Linked DNA regions of Rhinolophus ferrumequinum. The protein of the gene in region 2 purifies or fractionates together with the protein of the main gene of each other region. This does not show direct contact. Links are inferred from orthologs where the notes say so. Each region holds a gene or a part of one and is shown on either strand. Other genes may lie near its edges. The genes, in order: BTRC, USP37 and FBXW11.

Evidence for each region.
Region 1: the proteins of USP37 (region 2) and BTRC purify together in Homo sapiens (affinity purification with western blotting; 3 studies listed by BioGRID and IntAct, counting the BioPlex papers as one, with this or other methods). This does not show direct contact. The link is inferred for Rhinolophus ferrumequinum from reciprocal best matches to the Homo sapiens genes USP37 and BTRC.
Region 3: the proteins of USP37 (region 2) and FBXW11 purify together in Homo sapiens (affinity purification with mass spectrometry; 6 studies listed by BioGRID and IntAct, counting the BioPlex papers as one, with this or other methods). This does not show direct contact. The link is inferred for Rhinolophus ferrumequinum from reciprocal best matches to the Homo sapiens genes USP37 and FBXW11.

The regions. Positions count from the first base shown.
Region 1 is NC_046299.1:23,422,478-23,430,020, forward strand, and holds the start of BTRC (F-box/WD repeat-containing protein 1A), read right to left. Parts: upstream 3,105-7,543; 5' UTR 2,970-3,104; coding exon 2,922-2,969; intron 2,606-2,921; exon of another isoform or gene 2,541-2,605; intron 1-2,540. UniProt on the Homo sapiens protein: Substrate recognition component of a SCF (SKP1-CUL1-F-box protein) E3 ubiquitin-protein ligase complex which mediates the ubiquitination and subsequent proteasomal degradation of target proteins. Recognizes and binds to phosphorylated target proteins.
Region 2 is NC_046291.1:16,768,798-16,776,673, forward strand, and holds the start of USP37 (ubiquitin carboxyl-terminal hydrolase 37), read left to right. Parts: upstream 1-4,832; 5' UTR 4,833-5,051; intron 5,052-5,185; exon of another isoform or gene 5,186-5,391; intron 5,392-7,876. Other genes in the region: CNOT9 (CCR4-NOT transcription complex subunit 9), read right to left, coding at 4,607-4,630. UniProt on the Homo sapiens protein: Deubiquitinase that plays a role in different processes including cell cycle regulation, DNA replication or DNA damage response.
Region 3 is NC_046307.1:38,113,525-38,120,798, reverse strand, and holds the start of FBXW11 (F-box/WD repeat-containing protein 11), read left to right. Parts: upstream 1-4,218; 5' UTR 4,219-4,363; coding exon 4,364-4,408; intron 4,409-7,274.

The DNA.
Region 1 (7,543 bases), on a different chromosome or scaffold from region 2:
ATATAGTTTTGTGTTTTTTTTAACTATATCTCTCCTATATGGTGCCTACATTCCCTCAATTATTTTCATTTCTCTTCTCAGGTCCTCTCCCAGTTCCCAATTATCTTTTCTGAGGAATTATAATTTTGTTGACCAAGGAAGTATTAGGAAAGATCCTTGAGGACCTGCTAAAGCTGAATGAGAGATATTAGCATATAGGTTATTTAACGTAAACTACTTCTTTAATATCATTTGTTTCTAGAAGTTAAACTACTTTTCACAAGTATCCAAGCATAAACTTTTAAATCTAGACCACATGCGAATTATGGGCAAGTCTGAATTAGCAGTCTCATTAATAAGATTCTATTGCAAAATTCCTAACTGAAGCACTACATTAATGTGGTAATGAGCAAAATACGTAAAAGGGAATATCCATTTCATCTTGGTATTTTTAACAAACTGCATTTTCTTAAACTATGGAAGTCAGGGCATCCACACAAAAACTGTCATTCATAATTCACAACTGAGGGAAAGATAAGGCCAAAACAAAGCCATACACTCTATATAATTATCAATTTGATTAAAAGCATAGCCCTTCCATGTGTATTGTGTACTAATCACTTGGTGCAAGCACAAATAAAATATCTTCCTATCTCAAAATTGACTCCAAGTAAACAGACATGTTACAAAGCAGGGTAAATGGGACCAAAGGCAAGTTGAGACTTACTCAGATTCATAATAAGGCTGTTACTGAGCTGAAAAAGAATACCAAATCTCTAACTCTCCATTCTCTGCTTCAGTTATTAAGGTGACATTCTTGGTGACCTTCTTTCAGTTGGCCTTTTCTCAAACAGCAGCCACAATAGCAGGCAAGGTCAAAAATAAAAGTAACTAAAGAAAAAACTGGCTTCTCTCTCTGGAAACTGACTCAACATTTAATAACACGTGGTGCCCTAAAAGCTGCAAACTACTACATGGCCATCTCCAGATCCACTTTAACTGAATCTGACCATTATCGAAATACAACTCACTGGTACAAAGCAGGGATCAAGTAGTTGAGAATATTCCTAGACTGAGGTCTGATTGAGAATAGATGATCTCATAATGTCTCTTTATGATCTGTAAATCACACTATTCCATAAAACTAACAGAAGTGTCAAGATTAGGATTAAGTCAACCTCTAAGGAGGAAAATAAAAATAAGCATCTGCCACTTTTCTGACTTCAATATAGAAGCTGGCTATAGATATAAAGCAACTTCCTCTTACTTTTGAAGTCCAAAAAATGTCAAAGTCTTGTCTTAATATTTTAGAATTTCAACATTGGGTACAAACTCAAGAACCTTTTCCAACATGGAATTTTGTTGATAATACACTCAAGCTTTAGTTAGGTGTTTTCGAAAGCACTAACACAAAATAAAGTTTTAGTAAATCTGACCAGTCTCTGAAAATGTATTCTTGTAAATAGGGCCGGTTAAAGACTAAATGGAATTAGGTTAGTGTCCATGTTTATTTAGATTTATTTTGGTTTTTCAGGCAAAGACACAAAATAACAACTAAGAAGTAAGATTTGTAGTGACAGGTTACAATTACTTCTGAAAAGGTATTGACTGCAAATAATATCAATGCCCCTAAGGCCACCTGTTAAGGTAGAAGTCTATGCATCCCATCATTCTTTAGCTGTAACCATAAAGTCTGGTTTTACACCTAGGATATACAAGAAGCATCAGATTAAAAGCATCAAATATCAGACTATAAAAAATTGCCAAACATAAACATAGAAAAAAAGCATGACACAAAGTTTAAAAACTGGGCTCCAAAGGATTTAAACACACCCACAAAATTCAATCCAAGCTCCTGATGTGTGCTTCAACCTAAAACTGATAAGTAACCACCAATCGTGACATCTCCCATTTCCCATTACTGACATTCCCTCTTTTATCTCCTGAATTTCTCCACTGATCTCATCACTCACAGGTCTTGTGATTCTAATCTCCACCGCCTTTCCTTTCCCAGAAAGTGATATAGCGCCTGGCCCCCACTTTACTATCTCTACAATTTAGCACTTTTGTTTTGTTTTAACCCTATTAATATTAATTTGCCCCCAATCTCGTGTAACCCAGGTTTCCTTGACCAATCAACCTCTTGCTTTTCATCTCCTCATCCTTACTACAATATTTGGCCTCTCCTTTCAAAGTAGAATGTGTACCCCCTTTTCTGACATCTGTAATTCTGGCTCATAGTCAACACCCCCCTTCCTTTCCCAGAGACTGTCACCATAACCCTAGATCCCCATCCCCAGTTCTTATTTTCCTAAGACCTCTTCCTTTCCAGAGTTTGCCAACATTAGTTTGGCCAAGCTGGGATTGCACCCTGAAGGTAAAGGCTATTTCTACGCCCTCATTTTATAAAACTACAAGTCTCGCACCAGCCCTGGCTTTCCTCCACCCTCAGATCCATCTGCATCCAGCCCTGCCGGTCCCCCTCCCCCCAATCTCTTTCCTCCCACTATTCCGCGCTCCCCTTCCCCACTCCTGAATGCACCTCTTCTCCCAAGCCTTACCCGTGACCCTGGCACTGGAAAGGCCCTGCCAGCGGCCTCACCGCGTCTCCCCTTCGAGCACTTCAGTAACTGTCCCCACGCCCCTTTCCCTCCAGGGCCCCGCGCGCCGCCCGGAGCCCCCTCCCCGATTAAGCTCCCGCTGTCACTTGGCCTCTCATCCACAAGATGGCGGAGCTGCTGCCCCCACCCCGGGTGCTCTCCACCACCCCCTCCCGCCTCCCTGGAGCTCCTGTCCCGTCCCCTTCAGCAGCCCCCGCTGCCGGCCTCGGCCCACAGTCCCGCTGCCCCCTCCTCCGGCGGACAAGCTGTCCAGGCCCGAGCCTCAGCGATGCCGCCAACGCCACCGCCAACACCATTCCCCGGCCTGCACCTTCTCCTCACCATAAACTTGAGCGCTTTTTCCTGCAGCACCGCCTCGGCCGGGTCCATAATCGCCGGGGGCCACTGGGTCTGCACTCCGCCGGGGCCGCCCCCTTGGTGCCAGGCCGCAGCCAACGCAGCGCCCGGATCCCGCCTCCTCTTTCTTCCCTCCGCCCTCTTACCTCTCAGGCACCCGCAGGGGGGCCAGGGGGGCCAGGGAGGACCGGCTATTTCGTGCGCATGCGTAAACCCACTGGCTCACTGGATTTGTAGTTCTGGAGCTTTACGCAGCAAAAAGTGAGGTCCCACCGCGAACTGCAACTCCCGCGGTTCACTGCGGCAGGGTCGCGGTGACTGACAAGCCAAATCTAGACAACTATCCTTCTAGTAGAGGAAATCAGCTGATGGGAATCGTAGTTTATAGCCTCGACAGGCTGAAAAACGGGAGGGGCAAGGGTGTCTCCGTGGTTACCAAAAGACGCCAGGGACCGCTTGCCTGGCATTTCATAGCAAGATGGCGACCAGTGCCTCAGCTGTAGCCCATTAATACTGGGAAACACTGTGAGGACTCTACAGAGTTCCTAAGACCTGCCTAACTGTGGTTTTAGAGAACTGGACACCCCTAAATTTCATATATTTGACCTCTGCGGGATGGATTTCGACCCAGAGGCGCTGGGCCTATAAGCATCTGGCCGCCCCTTACACAGACGAATGCAGAATTTCAAGGTCCTCCTAAGCAACACTTCTCCCGAGGACCTTATTCTCCCCCACACCAAGGCAGGGCCCAATAGAACTCGGTTCTGGAAATTCTCAGGGGGTTAGCACTCAGAAAGTTGAGCTGCTACTGCTAACCATGAGATGTAAGCCCTGCATTAAGGGTCAAACAAGTACTTACAAAGACCTTCAATAGTGGAACATAATGGCCATCCAGCAAATAAAGCATATAAGTATTTAGTTTGGCCTTGAAAGGGACAGTACAAGTTCATTTTGGAAACTGGGTCTACCCTAGATGGAAAAAACACTGGTCTAAAAATGATAGGGTTGTAAAAATAATAATAATAATCTGAATTTATAAAATAAGTGAATTGGGGAAATGCCTTTTCACTTATAAGAAAAACTTCCCTTATAAACTATTCATTCGCTAATTCAACAACAGTAAGCACATAACCATGTGGAGACATCGTTCCAAGAAATGGAGATTCTTGGATAGACCCAGTGAGCATGATAGACCCAGTCTTGTAGAGCTTGCATTTCTAATATGTTGATATTCTGTCCTAGTCATCCTTATGTATTGAACTCAGCACCATACCTAATACATAATAAGCTTTCAATCAATAAAAAGTTTACTCTTGAATTTTAAAAACAAATTCTACACAAGTGCAAAAATGTGGAAGACTTAAAACTCACTCAAATGAAAAATACCTGGAGGTTTTCATAGGACTAAGACAGTCTGTGACATGGTCACCAAAAAAGCTAAAGGAGGGCCGGCCGGGTGGCTCAGGTGGTTGAAGCCCAGTGCTCCTAATGCCCAAGTTGCTGGTTTGATTCCCACTTGGGCCAGTGAGCTGCGCCCTCTATAGCATTGTGAACAACAGTTCTCCCTGGAGCTGGGTTGCCCTGAGCAGCCGGAGGTTGGCATGAGCTACCACCTGCTGTCGTGTGCTTTGGAGAGTGGCCGGCAATGTGAGTGGCCGGCAACCATCCTGAGCTGCCCTCAGCTACTGTGGGCTGCCATGAGCAGTGGGCAGCTGGCCAGAGCTGCCTGTGAGCCGCTGTGAGCAGCGCACCAACGACAGGCGACCGACTGCCTCAGCCAGGGGGAACGCAAGGCTCATAATACCAGCATGGGCCAGGGAGCTGTGTCCTACACAGCTAGACTGAAAAATAACAGCTTGAACTAGAGTCAGGGGGCTGGGGGTGGGGAGGGATGAGGAAGAAGGGGGGGGGGAAGCCAAAGGAGTCCTAGGCAGCTTGAAGAGTGGTGTCTGGGAAATAGAGGCTTATGGTCTTACTCTGTTTTGAAGCACTCAGATCACACCTGGAGTACTTTGTTCAGTTACAGGCACCATGTTCTACAAACATCAGATGCAGGAGTATAGCCAAGAGAAGGATAACCAAAAGAGAAAATACTGATGGATGCTTACTCTGAAAAAAAGAACACTTAGGAATAACATGACAACTAAATTTAAGTATTCAAAAGTATTGAAAGGCATGTATATGTAGCACCATAAGGCAAACTAGGACCAATAGGTGGGATAATAATTATGATGATGATAACAACAGCTATCACTTTATTAGCTCTTTGTGCCAGGCACTGTAGTAGGCATTTTACATTCATAATCTCTAATATTCATAGTAACTCTGTAAAACTGATATTATCCTTAATGTACAGATGAAGTGAATGATACTGGTAGAAGATAAATAACTTGCTCAAGTCATGCAGCAAATTACATAGTTAGGATTCTAACTCAAGTCTGCTTGACTCCAAGGCCTGTGCTATTTTCACTGACTCACACTACAGTGACATAGGACTCAGACTCAGAGCTTTCTAGTAATCAGAGCTGTCCTGACAGAGGAATAGACTGCCCTATTTCTGAAAACATAGAGGCAGGATGACCATCTGTCAGGGGGGTTCAGTTTGGGTGGGAGGTTAAGATCTTTCAAACTCTAAGGTTTTATTCTTTTTAGAAGTCATTTGTTTTACTTTTTTATCCAGAGAGGAGGATGAAAATATTGCCTGATGAGGCTGGCAGTCAGTGGCAGTCCTCACTTTGTCCAGTCATGTAGAGGTCAGGATTAGTAAAACAAACACAAGGAGTTTTTGTTTAGAAGCCCAGCCAGCTAGACAGTTCATATGCATATGGATTGAAAGTAAGCTGGCAGGGGCTGGGTACACAAAGGGTAAGTCCTTTTTCTTGAAAATTGACCACTCATGGTCAGGCAAACAGAAATCCAAATGTGAATTGCCTTGATTTTCAAGCCTCTCGTATCCAACAAAGTTTAGGAAAGTTCATTGGACTAATAGTTAAGAGACCTGGTTCTAGCCCATCCTTTCTCCAGTTAATTGGTTGTATTTGTGCAATTAACTGAACCTCTCTGGTCCTCTCTTTTGTCATCTGGAAAACAAAGATCTCTGCCATCTCTAAAATGGGTGTACCTATGAGCCCGGCTTATGGTGCTTGTTCAAGGAGAAGACTGAATCATTAGAACCTTTAAAGTTCCACGTTACTGGAAAACTGGATTTCCAGTGTGAGAAATCTCAGGCTACTGCTGGACTTAATTTCTTCCATTAATTTCCTTGTTTAAGACCACAGGGTACTCTGGCTTAACCTTGTCTATTAGTGTCTGTATTCAGCCAATAATCTATCAAAATGTCTCTTTCAGCCTCCACCTCCAATGCAAGCCTGTTCCAGACTACCTGTTTTATCTTTGTTCTTAGTTCACTATAGTATTTATTCACTTCCCATCCAGTTCTCTGACTCCAGGCTCTCTCCATCCGCCTCATCTGACTTCACTTCCATCACATTTCTTCCCTGATCAATCCTTTTATGGCTCTCTTAACTACTTTATCATTGCTTAAATTCCTTTTTCTAGCTTTCCAGACCTTTCAAATCTTATCCAATCCTCCCTCTCTAGCCTTACTTCCCACTTGTTTTAATATAACCCTCTGCTCCAAATAGACTGTTCTCCTACTCCACGTGCTTAGCACACTCCTGCCTCCTGGCCTTAACTTATGGGAGTCATTTTACCATTCTAGAAGGCTTCCTTTTCCTCCTCTTTCCTACCCATCTTTCAAGGTCTGATTTAAATCTTACTTTTGAAAAATAGTTATCTATTGCCTTTTAGCACTACAGCCTGCCCTCCCCGCACAGGCAATGTTTATTTGTATGGGTCTTTCAAAATAAATATTGTTTTGTATGCTGCATTTTTTGTTGGAGGTGGTGTGCTACATTTACAATTCACAAATGTAATATTGTTTTATATATCTTACTATGTTTCATACCTTTTGCACCCAGTATCTATGATTTTAAGATCCATTCATGTTGCTATACGTACATCTAATCTGTTGCTTCTAACTGCTGAATAATAGTCTGATGGTGTGTAGCTCCCACATTCTACCTATCTACTCTCCCAGCAAAGCCTCCAATCACCCCCAATAAAGCTGTAGTGATCAACCTCCTACGTGATCCCTGAGCAACACTATCTTTGAGAATATTTACCGAAAAATCATACTTGCTGGTTCATAGACTATTAAGGATATTTAGTTGGACTATGTAATGTCAAACTGCAGTACAGAAAGACCACAACAGTCTATGCTTCCACCACACTACTCCACCACACTTGACATTGAGATTTTCGCTTTTTTTTTAAGCCAGTTTACACATTTTACCTTCTCTGGCAACACCCAATCCACAAGAATCATGCCCTCCTGCTCTTCTAACTCCCACCATCTCTGTAGTGTGTGCTTATAACACATAGCAGACTGGAGTCAGAAATATTCCACATCTGCCTGCACTTTTTTCTCATTGCATGGCATTCCCCTCTCCTATACCTGCTGGGGTTCTCAACTCTGATTGCACGTAAGAGTCATTTTAGGAGCTTCATGAAAAATATTGATGCCCAAGCTCTATCCCCAAGGTACT
Region 2 (7,876 bases):
TATCAAGTGAATGAATAGGAAACACGTAAGTGGAACACACACTAGATTAGAAGCCATAAGTGGCTTCAAAACACAGCTTTGCCATTTCTAGCATGTGTAACCTAGGATAAGTCATTTACTTTCCCAACCCTCAGTTTTATCACTGGTAAAATGAAGGAATTAATTACCGAAGTCTCAGTCAGCTATAAAAATCTTAGAAATTTATTTAATTCTTTGTTATAAAGTGAGAGACTAATCTAAGTGGCTCTTTAAAAATAATAAATTTTATTCAGGTATAATTTATATACAATAAAACTTTTCAGTGCACCCATTTTAAGTGTACATTTCAATGAAGTTTGAGAAATCTATATACCTGAGTAACCACCACCACAATCAAGATATAGATCACTTCCATTACCCTCAAAAGTTCTCTAGTATTCCTGTCAGGAATCGCACCACACCCAGCCCTAGGCAACTATGGATATGCTTTTTGCTGCTATAGATGAGGTCTGCCTTTTCTAGAAACTATTTATAGGAGGTAATATTTACTGAACATACTATGTGCCAGTCACTGTGGATCATCTGCCTTATTCTCAAAATTCTAAGAAAGAATGGGTTCAGGGAGGTTAAATATATGCAAGTTCACACAGCGAGTATATGGCAGAAAATTAGATTTAAATTCTAGGCTACTTCTCTCTAAAATCAGTGAGCCCCTACCTGGTTTATAGGATTGAAATCACAAATATCTCTCCAAGTTGAAGAAAATATTTCTTAAGATCCCAATACAGACTTTTAAGTTTAATATCCCATTGTGTATAATATAGCTCATTAACAGTTGGATTTGGATAAACGGTAAGTTCACTTACATACCCAGAAACGTAAGGTCACTCATGAGAAGTCTGATTTAAACTATTAGTTATCTTCCTTAATACTGTCTTCCAAGATTACAAACAAGAGCTATTGGATATAACTGTATCTTCAGATATAACTCGCTTAATGTCAGTGGTCCCTTCCTTTCAATGTTAAAAATGTCTGTATGGCCAAAATTTAGGAGGGAATTGCTCTCCCCTTTTCTGTTTAATGATTTGTATATAGAAAAAGTATTTCAAATAACTTTTTTCTTTCAACAAAGCTTAACATAGGCAAGACATTTACCAATGTGAGTCACCAATGGTTAACTTCAAGTGTCACAAACACAGGGTACTGATAGTTGGTCTTCTATCTTTGTAAGATCTTAATACTTAATGTGAAAAGAAAAAGATATTTAAAATTTAAATAAAAAGACCCACATTTACCTATAAATGAGAAAGAAAAATGATTTACCCCTCATGAGGAAATTTAAACATTGATGTTGATGGCTTTCTTAAACAGAAAATATCCAAATCTTTCAGTATGGGCCAAAATAGATTCAAGGGCCAAAATAGCTGGCTTTTCTACCAATGAATATTTGACAATGAATAAAGAAAGAAGAGTATTAGATTGAAAAAGAGATTATTTTCCCAAGTCTGGAGATGACTCAACAAGTGTCTTTGAATGTCTAGTTGACGATATTCCAAGAAAACACACTTTCTAAATACTGCCAAAGGGAAATATTAAATTAGCTCAATTATCCTCATATCTTTATGAAAATAAGGTCCAGAATGTTCTTCAAAAATAACTTTTTAAAAATAGAAGTGAATAAGCAAAGAGAAGTTAGGCAATTTGCTTAAAACTTCAACAGGAGACAGTCTTTGAATTAGATGTGCCAGAATGAATGCACAATGTTCTTTTTACTTGCCAAAGAGGAAGGCTTCTGGGAGTCTAGCACAACTTCAACAAAAAGATATAGAATAACTAATGACGGTGCCCATTAGGTGGAAAGCGAGGCAAAAACAAGGGTTTAAAGATGTTAGAATTGCCAGTAGAAATTCTACTGGGGAATCAGTGGGGAATATTTTTAAAAATGCATACCCAGAGCATCTCATAAGGGCTTTCCTTTGGTTGTTTTAGATCACTAGCATATCATTCATTACAGAAGACCCACAGTATGTGAAGATATGTATAATAATTCTATTAATCAACCTCCAAGGTCCATAACAAAGTGATTTGTTACTCTGTTGAGGCAGGAACTAGAGTCCCAAAGCTGAACCTAGGAGCAAGCCATTTAACCAGTGAGTGAACCTAGCCAACCACTGATCACTCTGTTATTATTTCATCTTTAAATAATCCTGTGTGTATTTGTGTCCTTATTTAATAGATGTGAGAAATTACATTCTATGGTGGCAATAATGAAGACGTTAGAATGTATTCTGTAAAGAATGAAAGGTCTATCATACCATACATTTCCAGTATAATACTACTCAAGTCAAAATTTAAGATATTTCCCAAATTATCTCAAATCCTCCCTATTGTGAATGAAATCCTGCATTCACATGTGATCACATTCTCCTTTGACAGTACTATCTCCCTAGCTGAAATGATGAATTACCTGTTATTTTAAAAAAGATAAAGGTACACACAGATACAAATTTTCATCATTAGGCAAAAAGTAATAATCAAGTTGCTTAGATTACTGCAGGCACTGGTGCATGTATTAACTTTTCTCAATTTCTAGAGAGTGACAAACACCATTACTGTCCCTTTACCCAGATCAGAATAAAACAGGCAGTTTAGTCTAATGGAAGGCATGCGCTTCAGTCTCCTCACTAACCAAATATTCTAGTGAATGAGTGGTAGAAAGTAACTTGTCAGAGCTTTCGTGTGGTCTAAGCAGCACAACAAATGAAAGTATATCTAAAAGTTCAAATTTTAAATAAATGTATTGTCAATCTAATTGAAGAAACATGTATTGAGTACTTACTTATAAGTAATGAACCACAGCTTTAATGGCTGTTCAAAAGATGAATTACAGGGAGCAAATGAAAATAAAAGAAATTGAATAGGTATGGGTATAGAGTTTGGGGAGGCACAGAGAAAAGAGCAGCTTGGCATCAAAGTGTGGCGAACACACGATCAGATTTTGAGAGATGGACAAGCCAACCTTAGAAGAATTTATTTACCTTGTCCCTCCCTACTAGCAGAAACCTCATCTTCTGACTTGCTTCTTCCAAATTATACATGTAATGTGCGAGAAGAAACAAAAAAGTTGGGGAAATTGCAAACACCCAATTGAGAGATATAAAAGGTACTTCTCCACTTTGACTAGTTACAAACACTTAGAAACATGGTGACAGGAGGCAGAGATGCCACTGGCTCTGGAAATGACGTTTTCTCTAACCTAATTACACAGCTTCCTTTTTATATTTAAAGGCAATTTTTTGGGTTCTCTATTTCGTATTTGTATCATTTTGCCTACTAATGCAACTTAAGTATATTATTCTCTCATTAAGTCACTTTACCTCTGTGAAACAGAAAAAGTGGGGTGGGCATTTACAAAAGTGTGCTCAAATCATATGATCCCATTTTCCCACTGTGGCTATGTGTTCTCAGTAGCCACCTCCTTCATCTGCACCCCTCATTCAGCAAAGTACCTGAGCCCTTACTTTATGCCAGGAACTGTCCTGGATCTGGGTTACTATGTAAACAAGACCCACATGATCCCTGTCTCTGTCCTCAAGAGGGAGACAATCAACAAGCAAATAAATACAAAAAAATTACAAATTGTAATCAATGCTGTAAAGGATACTTGAAAAGTAAAGTTGGAGGTTACAGAACTACAGTACTTTAAAAAAGACGGTCAGGGTCGCCCACTCTAGGGAGATTTGGCAGAGACCTGAGGGAAGCCAGCTATGCCCACATTGGGGGGAGGGGTGTGTGTGTGTGTGTGTGTGTTTAAGTTGGAAGAGCATTCCAGGAACAGAGATCAGAAAGTGCACTTTGGAGTTGAAAAGCACACCAGAAGGGATGGTAGACGGGATGTCCAGTGTAACTGGAGCCTACCGGGCAAGTGACATAAGACAAGACTGTAAACGTGGGTAAGAACCAGCGAGAGTCTTGTCATAGCGAGGACTCTGGATTTTATCTAAATGCAATGGGAAGCCATAGGATTACACTAGACAGGTGAACTACCCGATCCATTTTGGTTAAAAGACCACACTGATAAAACGAGATGTGTGAGGAAAGGTTTTAAGCGCAGAGAACCGTAAGTCAGACACGATAATTATTCACTTCTCTGGGTCTCAGATTTTCCATCTGCAAAGCAAGTGGTTTTAACTAGAAGCCATTTCCTTTCCGCTGCGATGTGCCTAGGCAGTCAGTTCCGAGAGCCCGGGGCCTTGTCAAATCGATCACAGAATTACCCTCATCCCCGCCGACGCTCGGAACGCAACGGGCACCCGGAAACTGTTGGTCAGGGCAATGAATCAATGAATGGCCAGTCCGGGCCGCGAGGGAGGCGTTCCGGGCGCGCGCAGGCCCCAGGCCGGAAAAGAACGCGAAATGCGGCGCGAGAGGCCACAAGTGCCGGTGGGCGAGGAAAGTAGGGGGTGGCTTCACCGCGACCAAAGCGCGGCGAGGAGGGGGGGCCGGGGCCTCGTGGGTTGAGAGCAGAAGTTGGACTCCAGGCTCCACAGAGGGAGCTAGGAGAGGAGGCCGAAACGCAGGACTGAGGAGGGGTTCTGGGCCCAGGCTGGGCGGCGCACCCACTCACCGCAGCCGTCGCCAGGCTGTGCATGTTGGGAGCGGCCACCGCTCTCCAGCCACCGCCGGACGCGCCCGACCCACGTCCCAGCTTCAGCGACTCTGCCGCCAAAGAGCTGCCGCAGCCGCCATCCGCCTCCGGCTCGCTCCGCCCCCTTCGCAGCCCTATGACCTTTCACCCCTGACACCGCCCACAATCCTCTTCCCCCCTCCTAGCTCTCCACGGAGTTAGTCCTAAAGTCTGTCCTTTGTCGCTTAAGATTCAGGACCTGAAGGACGTCCGCCTCCTATTAGTCCTGGCATTCCCCGCAGGCCTCCCCAGAGAGGGGAGTGAACTCTGACCCTCCTCCGGAGGCCAGTGAAGGGCGGGAAAAGCAGGGCAGTCCCCGAAGGAGAAGTAGTACGCATGCCCGACTGGGCTGAGTAAGATGGAAATGGTGGGAAGTCGAAAATGAGTGAGTAAGAAATGCGCATGCGTCCTGTAGTCAGATGGGGCGGGGCTGCCTTGGCGAGACTTCGCCGAGTGCTGGGGCGGGGCGAGGGCGTGGAGGGGCGGAGTTTGCATTCCTGCGCGCACGCGCCCCGTCCGGTCGCGTAGAGTGTGCGTGCGTGCGTTGCGTGTTTGCGTGTGGTCACAGTTCCCGCCATCAGCCGCTCTCCCTGAGTCGGGGGGAGTGAGCTGTCCCTCTCCTCCGTGCCGGGTGTCCCTTCCTTCCTTCCCCCCCACTTTTCCCCCTCCGCGCGGACTCCGTGCTTCCGGCGGGCCTGTCCCGGGCTCAGGACTCGCAGGCACAGGTAAGGCGGGCCCAGAAAGCTTCTCAACTGAGCGGTTTTCCCCAGCGGCTTCCCCCCCACCCCCGGTCCGCCCACTCGGCGTTCACTCTTCTGGAGTTCGCCCCGCTGCTGCTCAGCCTGCCCCCATCCACTCGACGCTCCCCTGGCCTCACCGGTGCTGCACTTGGGGCTTCCCTCAGGCTTTTCTTCTCCTTTGACCTGGTCTTGACTGTTACTCGCCCCCTCCGCAGCCGGAACCTCCCCCATTTCGCTGGGGGCTGTCGGCGTCCGCCACTCGCCCCTTAGCGAGGCCTGCTGTCTCTAAAAAGAGGACCTACGTTGCCGCACATCCACAGGCCTTGGACATGATTCTCTCACTCTCTTGACAGTTCCTCACCTTCTTTCCTCTCCTAACCATCTCTCACTAAAACGCATGAATTGTGTTCTTGTCGTGCATTTGGTTGCTCCCCATCTCTAGCCATCAGTTCAGGTTGTCAGCTTCACCTGTTTTAGGGCATGAGCCATGAAAGGAAATGATAATTGATGACAAAATCCTGTTTTCTGGAGACTTGGCCTGTAGTGGCTTTGTGGTAGTTCTTTCAAAATTTTGGCTCTGTACATGCCTTTTGGGGGGTGACAGTATCTGACAAGTAGCTAACTGGAAGAGATACCTAAGAGAGGATGTCAAGTTAGCAGTTGGATATATTGGTTTGACGCTCAGAGGAGAGTTCTGGGCTGGAAGTATAGATAAATGTATATATGTCATCTGCCACGTTGATGGTAATCAAAGCCATGGATGTGGATGAAATTGCCTAAAGCGAGTATAACGCTGGAAAAGGGGATCTAGGATGGCTCACTGAGGGGTTCTTGACGTTTAATAACTGGATAGAGGAATACAAGTCTGGTAAAGAGATGGAAGAAGTAATCAGTAGTGTTGCATTTTGCTGAAAGATGAATGAGGACTGAGAAGCCCAGTGAAATCAAAGTAATCGATGGTCATGGTGAGAGAGGTTTAATGGAGTAACATGGAATATCTTGGTTCAGTCGTAGGCCCTGTTCTTTTTGCTCTTCCTTTTCCACCCTAAGCTTTGAATTCTACCTATATATTGATGACTTAAGAACTTTTATTTCCAGCCTCTTCCCAAAAGCTCAAGATCTATTATAACTAGCCCCCATTTGCTTGACATTTCAGCTTGATTTTTTTCCTTAGAGATTTCAAATATAACATGTCTAAAACCAAATTCTTAATCTTTCTCTCCATATCCAAATTCTTTCTCCAGTATCCCGTTTCATTAAGTGGCATATCCATTTATCCACTTACATAGGCTAGACACTTGAAAGCCATTCTTGACTTCTCCCTCATTTCATGTATCCGTACCCTCTTCAAGTTCTATTTATTCTATTTCCAATATATGTGTTGAATCTATTTCTGTATATCTTTCGTATCACTTTTCCAGTCCAAGCCACAATCCTCATTCACTTGGACTTAATGTCACTGCTAGGTACCCTGTATTCTCATCTGTAAAATGGGAATAATCATCACCTTATTGAATTTTTATGAAGATTAAATGAGATAACTGTGGTAAGAACATGATACATAGTAAACAGCCAGTAAGCATTATTATTGTAATTGTTATAAGCTGAATCACTTTAATACTTTCGTATCTGGTTGTCCTGTTTTCTTCCATTCTTGCTCCTTTCTCCTCCCCAAATTGAAATCACTTCTTTATTCAGCAGTAACATGTCATTTCTCTGCTTAAAACCCTTCTGTGGATTTCCCAATCACTAAGTATTTATTACATTGAGGGTAAAATTCAAAATCATTACTATGCTGTACAAGATTCTGCATAACCTGAGTCTTTCCTGCTTTACTAGCTTCATCTTGCACCATCCTCCTCTCTCTCACTAAACTCTAGTCACACTGCTTTTCATTTCTTCAGTCACACCAAGTTACTTTCTGTCACAGGGCCTTTGCACATTTTGTTCTGTTTACTTGGGTGGTTCCAGCATGACTGTCCTTCAGTGAACTCTTTCTTCAAGTTTCAGCTTATATGGTACTTCCTCAGAGAAACCTTCCCTAGGTGCTCTCTAACCTTTAACCCCCAAGTCTTAAATCAGGGACCCTATTATAATCTCTCATCATGCCCTGCACTTTATATCATCTTTCAGAACTTGTAATTATATGTTTATTTGTGTGGTTATTTAAAGTCTGTCTCTTACTAGAATATAAGCTAGTAACTATTTAATTTCTGTTTCTCAAGAATTGGTTAAATGAGTAGCCATCATGTCTTTTGGAAGGTTACTGATATTCTTGTCATCTGTTGACAAACACCTTTTCTGTCTGCAGACAAATCAAAGGATACAAAAAAAACAACAAAGGGTTTTCCAGCTTTGGACGAATTTTCATTTTTATGTCATAAAATCATTTAGATTTTAGACTCTTTGAATTGGAGATAAACTTTATCTAGGGCAACTTCTCTCTTTCAGCCACAACACTAATTTTATC
Region 3 (7,274 bases), on a different chromosome or scaffold from region 2:
GAGACAAGTGAGACAATTATCCCCTTTAATCCTCTTAAGTGCACAGGTACTGGGGAAACGTGCACTAGCAGCAGTGTAACCAGACTGCACGCCCAGTCCCGCCAGGCGAGGTCAGGCAGGGCTGATCTGGGCTGTTTACAACACCGCCTTTACAGCCTGGGGTGTGAGAAGCAGTGTTATGTGAGATGCGGCTTCGTGGCTCAGGCAGGCCTTTGGTTATTCCCTTACTTGGCTTGTTCACACTGGAATCTCGTTCAGGGGTAGCTGTTCCCTGCTCAGTGCCGCCTGAGCCCCAGTAGCTGCCCTGTCCTTCCCGGATGGGGCCTGGGTGGGTCTTCCGGCCTCACGACTGAGCCAACGTGCAGGCCCATCACTGAGAAGCCCACGTAGTTCTCTGCGTGCTCTGTGCTACTGTTTCCTCTGTAAGGGACACACAGAACTGTTTCTCCTTTTCAGTCAATTTATTGCAGAGTAAATCTAACTAACTTATATTTTCCCTTGATGAAGGATAGAAGTTATTTTTATGTAGTTTTCAAACTTTATACAAGATTTTTGTAATATGTTCTCTGCAAAGTTAACTGCAAGGAAGTAATATACTTCTAATAAAATAACAAGGTGAGAAACTCTATTTGCCTTTGGGGTTGTTCTCTTGGATGGGGGTGGTTCTCTTGGATTGCCAGACAAGCAAAGGGAGAGCTGAACCAAGGGGCTAGCTTCTGAGTGCACTGCTGCCTGCCAGGTCATACAGCCGGTCTGACTGTGGGATTTCTGTTCTGAAAGAAGTTATGCTTGGCTGTGTGTGAGTGTGTGTGTGTGTGTGTGTGTGTGTTTTCTATGGACATTTATTCTCATTTAACAAACATCTGGCCACCAAGAGTTTTCACATATTAACTTACTGAATCCTTTCAACAACCCGAGGAAGACACTGCCATTCCCATTTTAGAGATGAGGAAATGGACACTGGGCAAGGGGAGGGTCAGGCCAAACCTCACACCGCTGGCAAGTGACGCGTAGGGATTCAACCGTAGACCTTCTAGCAGTGCTACCTCCCCCACACCTCTTCCCCTGTCCCCAACTGCCCATTACACTCAGCAAGAGTCACACAGACACTTAGCCACTAGCCATCTCTGCCATGTTTAAAAGATTTTTTCTGCCTTTAAAGTTCCATTCAGGGGTTCTTAACCTGGGGTTCCCAGACCCCCACCAAGGAATCCATGGATAGAATTCAGAGTGCCTTTGTACCAGGATGGAAGAGTTGGTCTTTCGTTTTACTGACCTCTAACTGAAAGGCAGCATTTCCTTTCCTTATGGACGTAGGCCACACATTTTAGTAGTAGTAGCAGTACCTGTAACTGTCAGCAACAGAAGTCAGAGATTTCATCTCACGTGTGGCTCTTAAAGACATCTTAAAATATCATTTTGTTCATCACTTTGAAGTTATAGTAGTAATTAGACCTATTGCTAGATCTTGTTATTTAATGTGATATATGAAAATATACTGTATATATGTATCACATTACATACATATGTCACATATATAAGCAAGTTTTCCTAATATCTTGATAGCTTAATTTCATTGTTAATGATTTCACTTGTAATCTATGTGCTTTATATTGTATATCGGAAAGTATTCTGAGAAGGGGCTCATAGTCTTTGTGGAACACCGTAAGATAAAGAACCCCTACTCTGCAGCCCTGAGTTGTCCCTGTCCTAGAAACTTTCCCACCAGCAGGTGGCGGTCCACTGTCAATGTCTCGCAAGTCCGTGAACTGGGTGTTTAGGGATGCAGGTGAACAAACAGCTGGCACGCCTCCCATTAAGGGCTAGAAAAGTGACTGGGGTTCCCAGGGAAAGCACTCATGAGACTGGTGAGGAAGACAAAGCATTAGGGGTTGTGTGGAACTTGGGAAATGAGATGATCCCACATTAATTGATACCGCATAATCACAAGTACTAGAGATGCTGTAATGGGTAAGATACTGAGTCTTCAAAACACTTGTCCTGTTGAGGAAACACCTGGAGAGGCAGAGTGTCCGTGCAGGCTGACACAGCCTGGGAGAATCAGGGAGGACTTCCCAGAGGAGGTGATGCTGAGTCTTGGAGGACAAATGAGTACGTGAAAAATGCATTCCGACACCGCGGTAGAGTTGAGGGTGAATAGCGGTAGCCATGAGGGCCACACTTGCATGCCGAGCTCAAACTGATCCCTACTGCCCTGTGGACAGTAAGAAGACTCAGAAAGAGTTTACTCGGTAAGGACAGTTGAAATCATGACCACAGCAACTCAAGAGACCAGCTGAAAAGGACAAAAACAATGCTGATATTGAATGGGAATACTGACCCACACAGGTTGGAGGCTCTAGAAAGTAAAGGGGAAACAGCAGGCTCCATGAAGGCAGGGAGTAAGACTTTAGCTGACCCCGAAACCCCAGAACCCAGCATGTTGCAACACTGAGATATCCAGTCTGGGTCCTTGTACCATAAAGAGTTCGCTAAGGGAGGTGTGGGGGGTCTGGGGGATGTAGACTGGATGTATATTAACCTGCTGTGGTACCAGACGTCTGGTTAATAACAAGCATGTCTTTAGTTAAAAACAATACTGAGAGAACTTCCACTTCCAACGATGGCAGACTAGGTAATTCAGACCAATCCTAACACGGAGGACAATTGGAAAAGCTGGACAAAATAATTAAACACTTTATAGGTGTTCTAATCTCCTCACTTTATAGGTGCAGAGAAAAGCAACCTCTGACATTAGGAAGCTGGCCTGCTACATGACAGCCAGGCTGTAATGTTACTAGATGGTAGCCTGGCCTGCTTAGCTCGGTCTTGTGTTCTGTTGAATATAATTTTTCACAGAACATAAACATCGGACAAGGCCATTCTGTAACCATGAGAGATCAAGACAAAAACAAGACCACTCCTTAAGTATACCCGCTCGCAGATAAAACGTGACCATTGTTCAAACCACAAAAAACCAAACATCCCCCATCCTGGCTAACATGAGGGGGGCAGCTTCCTTACCAATTACAGCGTTAGCCTCAGTCTAGTATTCCTCCCTTCCAGGTAAGATTTAACGAGATGCCCAATCATAGAATTACCCCCACTTCCTGGCACCATCGAACTCAGAGTAAAGTCCCCCACTTCCTTAAACCCTCTCCCAAATCATCTAATAACTTCTACTGAGATGCTCATGCCCCACGCTTTCCCCTTACAGCAACCAAGCAATAAACGCAACTTCAACTACCTGTCTCTGGTGGTCTTTGATTAGGAGGCAGTGACAGACCTAAGGTCACCGAGAGCTGGTGACCGAGTTCACTAGGCGTCCCCAGGTCTCCAGCTGTGTTCTGTCTTAGCACCTGTCACTCTGGGTAAATGTCTGCCTTCCTGCGCACTAGAATGAAGCCCACGAGAACAGAGGACCTGTCTGGGATGCTCGGAGCGGATTCCCAGGGCCTAGACTGGTGCGCAGCCGAGGCCAGAAGTTTAAAAAGTATTTTCTGAACAAATGAATACGAGGGGCTCACTATTCACAGGTTCCCTTTCATCTCTCAGCTCCTCTCAGTTCCATGAGCACTACAGCTCCTCTCCAGAAACCTCTTCTTCCCCATCGAAATCTCCAAACACCTCACTGGGATGCCTGAGAGGGATGATGGATGGCCCTTGTGGACCCTCCTCCCTTGCCCGAGCGTCTCTCGCTCGCTGGCCCCCTCCCACACCTGAGCCCCAAGACCACTCCCTCTTAACGCACCCAGAACCTACCTGTCTCCAATGTGTCCCAACTACCATGCGCTAGCTGACCAGCTGCGCCGCTACCTAGACGTCGAATGGGCATTGCGGTGGCCGACCGCGCATGTGCGGAAATTGGTCGCACAAGCGGGACCTCCGACAAGCGAAGAGTTGCTTCTGAGTTTCCGTTCCGGTCTGAGTAGCCTTGGGCTGCCAGGAAGTCAGGGGGAAGTAGCCGGAAGCAGAACCCGCGCGCAGGGCTTTCGGGGACATGTAGTGGCGGGGCTCCCAAGGCCCTACCCGGTGGGAGCCCGTGATTCTTGCGGTCTGAACGTTCCGCATTCACGATTCAGTGCCACTTTCGCCGCAGAATTCAGCTTCGCGCTGCCAGGAGAGATTGGCCGGGTGTCGGCTTTTCATTCCCACAACGCTTGGCGGGCACGCGGCGCCTGCTGGGAGCGGTAGTCCTGTCGGCGTAGTGCGTTCGCCGAGGGGGAGGGCGGAGCTGCCGGCGGCCCGGGCGGGCTGGCAGCTAGAGTGGGTGCGATTACCGCCTCCGCCTCTGCCGCCTCCGCCGTCGCCTCCTCCGCCCGGGCCGTTCGCTGCTGCGCGGGGAGAGCGAGGCGGGGCCGCCATGGAGCCCGACTCGGTGATTGAGGACAAGACCATCGAGCTCATGGTGAGTGCGGCCCGCTGGACCGTCTGTTCTTCCGTCCGTCCGGCCCCGGGCGGGCCTGCCCATCTCAGGGTCCGGCGCGAGGCCGGCCCTGGCCCTTCCCCGCCGTTTCGGCCCCGACCTGGGCCCCCTGCCTTCCCTGGCCTCGGGCCGGGAGCGGTTCCTCCGGATCCCTCGAGATCTCAGGCCGGACCTGGTCCGGCCCCCTCCCTGCCCCTCGGTTCTCCTCCCCTTATCCTGTCTCCGGGCCCATCTCTCGAACGATCCTCGCTCGCTTCTGCTGTGGCCGTAACTCATACTCGCTGTAGCATCCCATTCTCCTTTTCTTAGAAGGGGATTCGTTAATTTTTTTTTCCTCCTCTATTTCCCCGGCCCAGGCCTGCACCGCTCTTGAAAGCCCCAGTCAGGCCGAATGAGGTGGTGGGAGGGGATACGGAGGAGATGGATCAGGGCCTTGGCCTCCGCGACCTAGTGCGGGGTCTCAGCCCCCTGTCCCCAACCTAGGGCTGTGTGGATGCCGGGATAGGCCCTACAGGGGTGGAGGTGGGGAGCTCTCGGGTTTGAGGTGGTGACGGAGAAGGGGTCTCTTTCCCGGGCCCCTTTGATGTCCGGCTTCTCGGACAAAGGGTTTCCTACTGGGCCGAGAGGGATGTTTGCATAGCAAGGCCCCAGGTACTCTGGATTCCATCTTCCAGGAAAGGGAAACCGTAACTTCATGTTTTCGAGAGCTGCTTTGGGAAATTGAGGAAGGGGGGAGGGTTGCCCTCATCACTGCCGTCAGTTCTTTCTTCTCAAAAAAAAGGTGTGTGTTGGGGGGAGAATCCTAGGCCTCAGGGGAAACGATAACTCTTCTGTTAGGAACCATTGGTAGCCAGACCAGACTTCCTGGCCCCGCGGTCGCCCCAACCCCCTCCCCCCTTCCCCCTAAGGACTTGAGCCAGAAGGAGTTTTTAGAAACAGGACCACAAGAGAGTGGCTAGTAGAAACGAAGAATTTGCTACTTGGTGGATGATTCGGTGGGAGAAATAAAACATGGCAGCTATTACCTGCCAATTTGAACATCAGAGAAATCAAACGGGGCTATGGAGAGTTGGGAGGAGGAAGTCTTTGCTTCAGCAAATGGACAAGCCCAGGCTTTCTTCCTGTGGAAACCTTGACAGTTTTTTGTATGTCCCCTAACACGGTAACAATTTCTAGCCCACGGTTGAGAGGAAAGGTGAAAGAATCTACTTAACCCAGCAAAAGGTTTTCCTAGCCAGATTTTCTCCAGTGTGAAAATGTTTATTGAGTCAGTAATTCCACTGGGTAGGGTCGGTGACATCAGAGCCACTTCCCCCATTTAATGCTATAAATAATAAATGGTGACACTGAAAGTCTGTTGGATAGCTGCATGGTTTCTGTGGATGATGGTACTTGGGGAGTTGAGATGTATGTTTTAAAAATGGAAGTACAGTAGCATAAATCCGGAGGCAGCTTAATATATGCTGCTTTTGCATAATTCACAGACACAGAACTAGACTTCTCCAGCATTCTTGAAAACTAAAAAAAAAAAAAAAGCTCTGATAGTTTAGGAAGTGTGTGCACACGTGTGGTTGATTTCTAAGGGATACATACTGTCACTTGGGGCTTTTTATTTGATTTTCATTTATTAAGTAATTTGTCCTCTTCAGTATAATTGTAAGTCAAGTGTTTGGTATTCTGCAACTTTTGTAGTGGATTATTTTGGTAAAATATCTTAATTAGAATTATAAATATAGTACATATTCTTATGGATGTTCATACATGTACTTAACAGGAATAATTCATATTAAAAAATTGTATCTTGATACCTCTTTGAAATTGGCTGTCCTGTGCTCCTTTCATTTCTGTTCATTTAAAGAGTAACTAAAATGTCTTTATTTTCAAAAGAGAAGAAACACAGTGTAATCTATTTAGTGTCTTCGTGTATATTGTAAAAAAAAAAAATCAGGCCTAAATTTACTGGCTTCCTATGCTATACTTATAACCTAAAAAAGGTTTGATTTTTACATGCTTGTGCTTGTCTGTGATCTGAAAAAATATTTCAGCCTTTTAAGGACATTATAAACTGGGATTCTTAGAGAATTTAGAAAGAGTTTAATAGTTATCTAAATCAATTTTAAAATGGCTTTTTTTATATATGGATTTTGATACTCCCTCAAAGGGATAGCAGTTAAGACTCTTAGGCAACCCTTTTCATAAACATATATGTATTTTAGTGTAGTAGGTAGTAGCACAGGTACTTAACTGATTTAGCAAATCCAGGAGCAGATGTAGGAATGATAATGCCTTAAAATCTAATTGCATGTGGCTTTCTGTATTAACTGTATTTTAATTACAGTTTCCAGAAGTAGGTTAAAAATATTTTTTACATTGGTTTCAAAATAACATGATTGAAGGAGGGGAAAGGGTTAAAGGGATGGTATTTTGAAAGCCTAAAGCACGAAATATTTTTAGATTTTTATGAGTCAGCTTCAATACTCAAATATTTGTCATTGTGCGGCCTGTACCAGTTTGGTACTTAATGGTTAACAGGGTAACTTCCATTTGATAATTTCAGAGTGTGCTGTATTAAAGAAAGGAAACAGACTTCATGGGTATCTCTGATTTCTTAATCTTCATTCCTCTACTTTGATTTTGATTCTTTCTCCTTTTTCCCTTGCACTTCTTCACTACTAGGAAATAAAGCTGGTGATAGCAGAATAGTTAAAATCTCCAAAATACAACTACTTTGTGACTCCCACCCCTGCCTGAGGCTGAGTCCACAAAGAAGCCTTTTCCAACAGACCTACCTCATTGGGTTCAGTCTTTAACATGGATGATACACCCTTGATCCAGACAACTCGCTGCA